Linked DNA regions of Kluyveromyces lactis. The main gene of each other region encodes a partner of the protein of the gene in region 2 in a complex. Links are inferred from orthologs where the notes say so. Each region holds a gene or a part of one and is shown on either strand. Other genes may lie near its edges.

Region 1 (3,155 bases), on a different chromosome or scaffold from region 2:
CAGTATATACCAAAATATTAACACCAATATCAATCAGAAACGATTTTAGGTGGACAAAAGTTATATTATTTCTGTATTGAAATATCGGTCTTGTTTATATAGAATCATTTTTTTTTTCCCTGTTTAATTCTCTATTACAAAGAATATTAGAAAGCAGAAGTGCTAAGGAACGGAACCAACAATCAGGAACAGCAACGGAACGACAGATTTATCGGCCGGACGATGAAGAACTGTACATTCTGGTAACGGCGTTATAACAGTACTGTAGGTATATCATATAAGATTTTATGATGACACCGGGTATATCTGCATCCTATAAGATTTATAGATTAGTAAACTGTCAGTGTTTATTGCTATGTGTCAAAGCATGCGGAAATGTTCGTTTCTGATGCAATGTATTTCATGTGATTACAAAGCAACGGCTGGATGTGTGCAATTTGGGGCTTAGAACTTAGAATTGATCGGTACATGATAAACTCCAAGCAGGTGAGAAGACGGCTTTAAACCACCAATGTGGCGTACCTTTTAGCTATAAGGTTTCTATTTGTCAGTGTTTAGATTGAATCTCGAACCCTTGATGATATCTGGTCACGTGGTCAATAATTACATACATTTTAACATCACATTATGAAGGGATATATACATAAATCACCTTGCCGCTTGTACCACACTCATACACCTGAACTCGTTCGAGTAAGATGCTTTCCATAACCGAATCTTACCATCATCTCCGGTACTACTTAGGATTGTACCTGTGAGATTCCAAGATACGGACCATACCTCGCCCTGATGGTCTGAATGTTCGCTGATCAGCTCGACGTGAAGGTTAGCCACTGATCCATCTGCATCAATGGCGGAGCTGTCAATGGGTGGGCCATCACGTTCTATGTTTGCATTGTTATCGTTTTCTTCGTTTATAATATTCGTACCGTTGTTACGCGATTCGGTTACTTTGAATATTCTTAATTTCCCATCTTTGCAGCCCGTAGCGATCAATTGGTACCACCTGCCCACTGATGGTGCCCACGCAATGGATCTGATTAATCCAGTGTGACCCTTCAAATGTCCTGCTGGGACCAATTTTCCCTGTTTGTTTCTTTGGTAGATAGTTGCCTGATCCATGGCACTGATAACTAATCTTTCTGTTGAAAATCTGGAGGGACACCAGGACAGACAAAAATCCGATTGTAGATGTGATGCAGGTGGAGTATTTAAGACGGTAATCTCGCTTGTCAGGGTCCATGACCTAAGATCGGAAGACTCTAACGCATCATAAAGACGTAACTTACCATCATTCCCCAATGCAGCTAGCCTTAGTCCCAAATGCGATGGAGCAAATTTTACGCTGAACAACGGTCCTGTCGCATCGTTCAACGTACAAAGTTTTTGCCAACGCTTTCCGGATAACTCAAGGGCATCTGGATCCTCCTCCCATAGTTTGATAGTCTTATCGTATGAGACACTCGCGATGATACGACCAAATTCTGGTGCGGCCCAATCAAGAGACACAATACTGCTATCGTGAGCCTTCCAACTTTCGCTCAATTCCCACTCATTCGTTTCCTTGTCTAGCTTGAACACCTTGATATGTTGGTCGCTGGAACATGTTGCGACTCGACGACCGTAAAAGTCATAACTAATATCGTGCACTAGGTCTGAGTGTCCTGTCAAAAACGGTTTCATGATGATAAAAGATTTTATCGGATTTACCACTAGATTGGTCGATAGAATAACTTCAACCTTCAAAGCCGTGAAGTGTAGATATCTCTCAACTCAGCTCAACTCTCTTTCCCTCTATCATGCAACTTTTAGCTTTCGTTTTCGAAAAGTTCGAAGTTCAATGTTTAAAGGATTCATATATATCGAAAATCAAAACACAATAATTTAAGAAAGCGCTTGGCATTTTAAATGCTAAGCTAAAAAAGTGCTTACTGAAGCTTTATATATAGCCAGTACCAGCTCAGGGAATGAACCATGCTTTCTTATTTTTTGCTACTGTTTGCTATTGCAATAATTGTATATTTTAAAGATGTATCTCCTATCGGATCTGCAGTAGGGTTTTCTGTAATTGGCTACGTGGCAGTTGATGTATTGATCCCACAAGTAGGTGATTCCTTCATCAAGATTGGTTTATTTGGCAAAGATATGAGTAAACCTGGTAGGCCAGTGATTCCAGAAACAATTGGATCTGTATCTGCTACAGTGTATTTGTTTATCATGTTCTTTTCGATTCCTTTCATGTTTTACAAATATTTGGTGATAACCTCTGGAGGTGGAAATAGAGATCTGGTTTCTCAAGAATCGACGGAGGAACAGCTATTCCCACATAGTAAGTTAAGTGAATTTTTAAGTGCACTTTTATGTCTTGAATCCACGATATTACTAGGTGCTGCTGACGATTTGTTTGATCTTCGCTGGAGACATAAATTCTTCCTACCAGCAATTGCTGCGATTCCATTACTTGTAGTCTACTATGTTGATTTTAGCGTTACCCATGTTTTGATCCCTAAGTTTGTACAAGAGTTAATTGGTACAAGCAAGACATCCATTGATTTAGGCGCTTTCTATTACTGCTATATGGCTTCGGTCGCCATTTTCTGTCCAAATTCAATTAATATATTGGCTGGTGTCAATGGACTTGAAGTTGGGCAGAGCATTGTCCTAGGCCTAATATTTATGATTAATGATGTGTTGTATTTAACTATGGGTGTGAACGGACATGCTCGTGAATCACACCTATTCTCACTTTTATTGATCGTCCCATTCCTCGGAGTCTCACTAGCATTGTTCAAATGGAACCGCTGGCCTGCAAAAGTATTTGTCGGTGATACTTACTGTTACTTCGCTGGTATGGTTTTCGCTGTAGTCGGTATTCTTGGACACTTCTCGAAGACTACGTTACTATTCTTTCTACCACAAATCTTCAATTTCATCTATTCAGCTCCACAAATATTCGGATTGGTGCCTTGCCCAAGGCATAGACTACCGAAATTTAACGAGAGTGATTGGCTAATGTACACATCACGAGCAGATCTTATAAAAGAAAAACCGAAGCCAGTAATGCAACCGATATTGAGACTTTTGCACAAATTGCGATTAATCGATTTGAACATCGATCCCAAAACAAATACAATTTTAGATTGCAGTAATATGAC
Region 2 (4,248 bases):
AGCTTTAACTTATCCGAAGAAACTAAACACCTTACTTTCTTCATCGAAATATGCTTCCAGTGGCCACAGCGCTTTGTTACCCTTCCATCAACCATCTGTAGAATCATATGAACCTGCAGATGACGAGGTGGCACTAACATACACGAGCGGTGAAGTGCAGAACGAAGCCAAAGAACAGTTGAAAGAAGAAGGTGATGTTTTGAGGAAAAGTAGAGGATTAATGAATGAACTACAAAGTACCGCTAACAAACGTGGCCAAGAGCTTAACACAGATATTTTGAGAAGGGTTGGCGAAAGATTTGATAGTGAACATATATCAAAGACGCCCTTTTGAAACAAGATATATCTAATATTATGTCACTCCTTGATGAATTGAACAATCAAGGAATTCCCATTGACGAAATTTTCAAGAAGAAATCAGATGACAAAAAACCAACTGCTTCTAGTTCCTCTGTCGACCAAAGTTCTAATACGGTCGTAGGAGTTGAAGCCAATCTGCAGGAGAAGAAAGGTGATGGGTATTCTGATAGCGATTATAGTAGCGAGGAAGAAGTACAGCAAGAAGAACAAATGGACCGCGCGTTTGACGAAGTTTTAGACACTCTAGCACATTCAAGAAAGACCACGCTTGCGAAATCAAATAATTCGCCAGGCTCAACATAGCAGCACCCAATGCACATAGCCCCCAAAGAGAATACAAATTACATTCCGTCTAAGAAACGTGGAGAATTGTAGACATGAAAACCACAAACTAATTCGAGGGGATACGTCTGCCCCTACTTTCACCTCTCTTTCTTTTTTTTTCAAAAGGAACTTTAACCTAATGCATTGAGATATACGAGATGATCAAAAACACAAATATGATGCCTTACTCTTGGATCAAATTACCCAGAAAGTTGGTAATGTGATTTATAGTTCCTAGGAAAACTCTATTCCATTGTTAACCGTTATTGATATTGGAGGAGAGAATCGAAAGACATAAAAGCCATCAAGCTCGGTTTACTCCGATTGAATTCTGTACATTATATAAATCTTACTATACATTCATTATAATATTAGGAAATAAACTTTAAAACAGAGCTTACTCTGGCTAGTCAAGCTTTATATGTCCATCCGTATATGCATCATATCAAGGTTACCCTCACTCAAATTTTTTGGACCTTGTTTCTTTCTAAAATCGAAAAGATCATAAAACTCGATATGATTAAACAATAAACTGAAAATTGTATACATAATGGCAAACGAATTGGTTTGAATAGGCATAGCTAGTCTATGAAGTGGACAATTACAAGGGTTCGTTAATCAACAAAATGAGTTTCAATTCAAACCCCACTTTCAACTTTTCTACAGCGGGAAATGCTTCCGGTGGGAACAGCAATTCCAATTTGTTTGCCGGTACTGGATCAGGACAAAATGTATCTACCACAGGAAACACCAGTACCAGCACAGGTGCTTCCTCTCTCTTTGGCAATACTGGAGGCCAGACCAGTGGCAATGCTTTTGCAAGTTTCGGTTCAGCTGCTGGTAGCTCTAATACGCAGCAGGGAAATGCATTTTCAGCGTTTGGAGCGACCACTACCAATGACAATGGACAAACAAAACCTGCATTCGGAGGCTTTGGTATGAATACACAACAGGGCGCTAATGCAGTCAAGCCAGCAGCTTCGCCATTTTCGTTTGGTGCCTCTAATACAACTGCTGGTACAGGCGATGCACCAAAACCTGCTTTTGGAGGTTTTAACGCAAACGATGCTGCCAGCAATGCGAACAATAACAACAGCAACACCACGAATACAAGCGCAGCAAAACCAACATTTGGTGGCTTTGGCTCCGTAGGAGCAGCAGGAAGTAGCTCTTCGCTATTTGGCGGGTCGCAACAGGCTAAAGACACTCAACCCAAGAGTGGATTCTCATTTGGTACACAACCTGAACAAAAGACCGATGCAAAGCCCGCTTTTAATTTCGGACTATCTGGAAATAATGCAATGACTACAACTCCGAGTGTCAATGCCTCTAAACCAATATTTGGTGCCAATACAACTTCAACATCAAGCTTCACAACTTCCGCTAAACCAACTGAAACCTCGAAACCTAATACAAATGCCACATCACTCTTTGGTGGGAACCACACTGATACAAAACCAGCCGGTGCTACTTCAGGGTTCAACTTTGGTTCTGCCGCTGGAGATGCCAACAAGCCAAGTTTTTCGCTAAGTCTGGGATCAAAACCTGAAGAAAAAACCTCAGGCGCAAAGACAGGATTCTCATTTGGTTCAAAAACGGAGGACAAGCCTACAGATGCTAAACCAGCATTTTCTTTCGGAGCAAAGCCCTCTGGGACAGAACAAGCCGGTAAGCCAGCCTTCAGCTTTGGATCAAAACCAGTGGCTCCTGAACCCTCTAAACCTTCCAATGACAAACCAGAAAGTAAACAGGGTTTTGCATTCAATGTTAAATCTGGCAACAGTAAAGAGGAGACCAAAAGTGGATTTTCTCTGGGATCTAAAACAGAAGAATCTAAACCTGCCTCTAAAATGGGATTTTCTCTGGGATCCTTGAACACGAATGCTGACGATACCGAATCCAAGCCTGGGTTTTCTTTTGGCAATAAGACTGAAGATACCAAGTCAGCTTCCAAAGCGGCCTTTTCGTTCGATAACAAGACTGACGGGTCAAAGTCAGAATCAAAACCATCTTTTGCTTTAGGGTCCAACACCTCAGAAAATAAAGCCGATCCTAGCCCCGCATTCTCGTTAGGAGCGAAACCTACCGATAGCAAATCATCTGATACTAAGGACGATTCGAAGCCTGCATTTAGCTTTGGAAGTAAACCTGCCGATAGCAGAACATCTGACACTAAGGTTGATTCAAAGCCTGCTTTTAGCTTTGGAAGTAAACCTGCGGAAACTACCGCTTCCAAAGACACGAAAACTGAAGCTCCTTCCTTTTCTTTGGGCGGTCTGAAACCGGATACTACCAAAGAAACAACTGAAAGTGCTAAGCAGGAAACTACAACTGGAACAAAGACATCTACTAAACCCGTTACTATCGAACCTGTTTCCCTCGACAATAAGACTTTGGATGACTTAGTATCAAAATGGACCTCCCAACTTTCTGGAACCGCAGATCACTTTGAGAGTTACGCCAAGAAGATAAATCAGTGGGACAAAGTATTAATGCAAGGTGGTGAACAAATAAGTCGGTTGTACTCTGATACATTAACTGCTGAACAATCTCAAAATAGAGTAGATCAGTCTCTCTCATATATCGAAAGACAACAATCTGAACTTGAGTATTTCCTCGATTCTTATGAACAAAAGGCTGAAGATCTGCTATCTGAGGTGCTTTCTTCGAGCAACAATAACAACACAAGCAAAACGAATGATCAAAAGAGACAACAAGCCTATCATACAGTGGAAATGCTTGACGACAACCTAAACTCTTTGTCACTAAATCTTTCCTCGTTGATTACCGAAATAAACGAAGTTAGCGAAACGTTCAATAAGGCTACAAACTCAAGCTTCCCTAATAAGGAAGAAAACGCTCAGTTGATCCAGTTATTAAATTCTCACCTAGATGCTCTTAAGTCGCTAGAGAACAACTCTCAGCAACTTGAAGGAAAACTCAAGACGTTGACGAAGTCTCAGAAATGATTTTTTTTTTTGACCTTGAGGTTAATACTATGATAATCTATATATTGAAACCTATGTACTTTGCTGGTTCAATCTAATAATCATGTAACCATATTGCCCTGATCGTTATTGCGCTCCAGAATAATTTGTCAGTGTACAAACCAAAATGATGAGTTGAACAAATTCTTCAAGTCCTTCTGGTTTGGTTTCAACTCCATTCTTTTCAAGTAATGCATCTCTCTTTAATGCGCCTTGTACCAATTGCTTGAAATGAGATATCAATTTTCTTGCCTCACGGAAAACGTATTGGCTTGATGTTCCTGAGCTGAGTAACACTGACGCAATCAACTGGAAGATGGGTATAATGATTTCAAAGAGCGAAATACCATTTTCGTATGATGTAATCTGGAGAGGGTTATCTAAAGTTAGATTCGCACGGATTTTTCCGGAGGTTGCAGCACCAACAGATTCAAACATCAATTCTAGTCCAAGATCTGGATCCATTTTCAAGAAGTTACACGACGTAATAGTTTCAAACAATTTCTTTTGAACTAAAGCATGAGAACCAGCCTTTGTTTGAGCCAATTTTGTCAGGAAGTGTACCACACATTTGAAA

The links.
Region 1: NSP1 (region 2) and SEH1 share a complex: the UniProt entries of both Schizosaccharomyces pombe proteins name them as parts of the nuclear pore complex. The link is inferred for Kluyveromyces lactis from reciprocal best matches to the Schizosaccharomyces pombe genes nsp1 and seh1.

The regions. Positions count from the first base shown.
Region 1 is NC_006042.1:649,827-652,981, forward strand, and holds SEH1 (Seh1p), read right to left. Parts: upstream 1,684-3,155; coding exon 649-1,683; downstream 1-648. Other genes in the region: ALG7 (UDP-N-acetylglucosamine--dolichyl-phosphate N-acetylglucosaminephosphotransferase), read left to right, coding at 1,975-3,155. UniProt on the Schizosaccharomyces pombe protein: Functions as a component of the nuclear pore complex (NPC).
Region 2 is NC_006041.1:1,040,677-1,044,924, reverse strand, and holds NSP1 (FG-nucleoporin NSP1), read left to right. Parts: upstream 1-1,310; coding exon 1,311-3,653; downstream 3,654-4,248. Other genes in the region: MHP1 (Mhp1p), read left to right, coding at 1-334; NUP192 (Nup192p), read right to left, coding at 3,759-4,248. UniProt on the Schizosaccharomyces pombe protein: Functions as a component of the nuclear pore complex (NPC).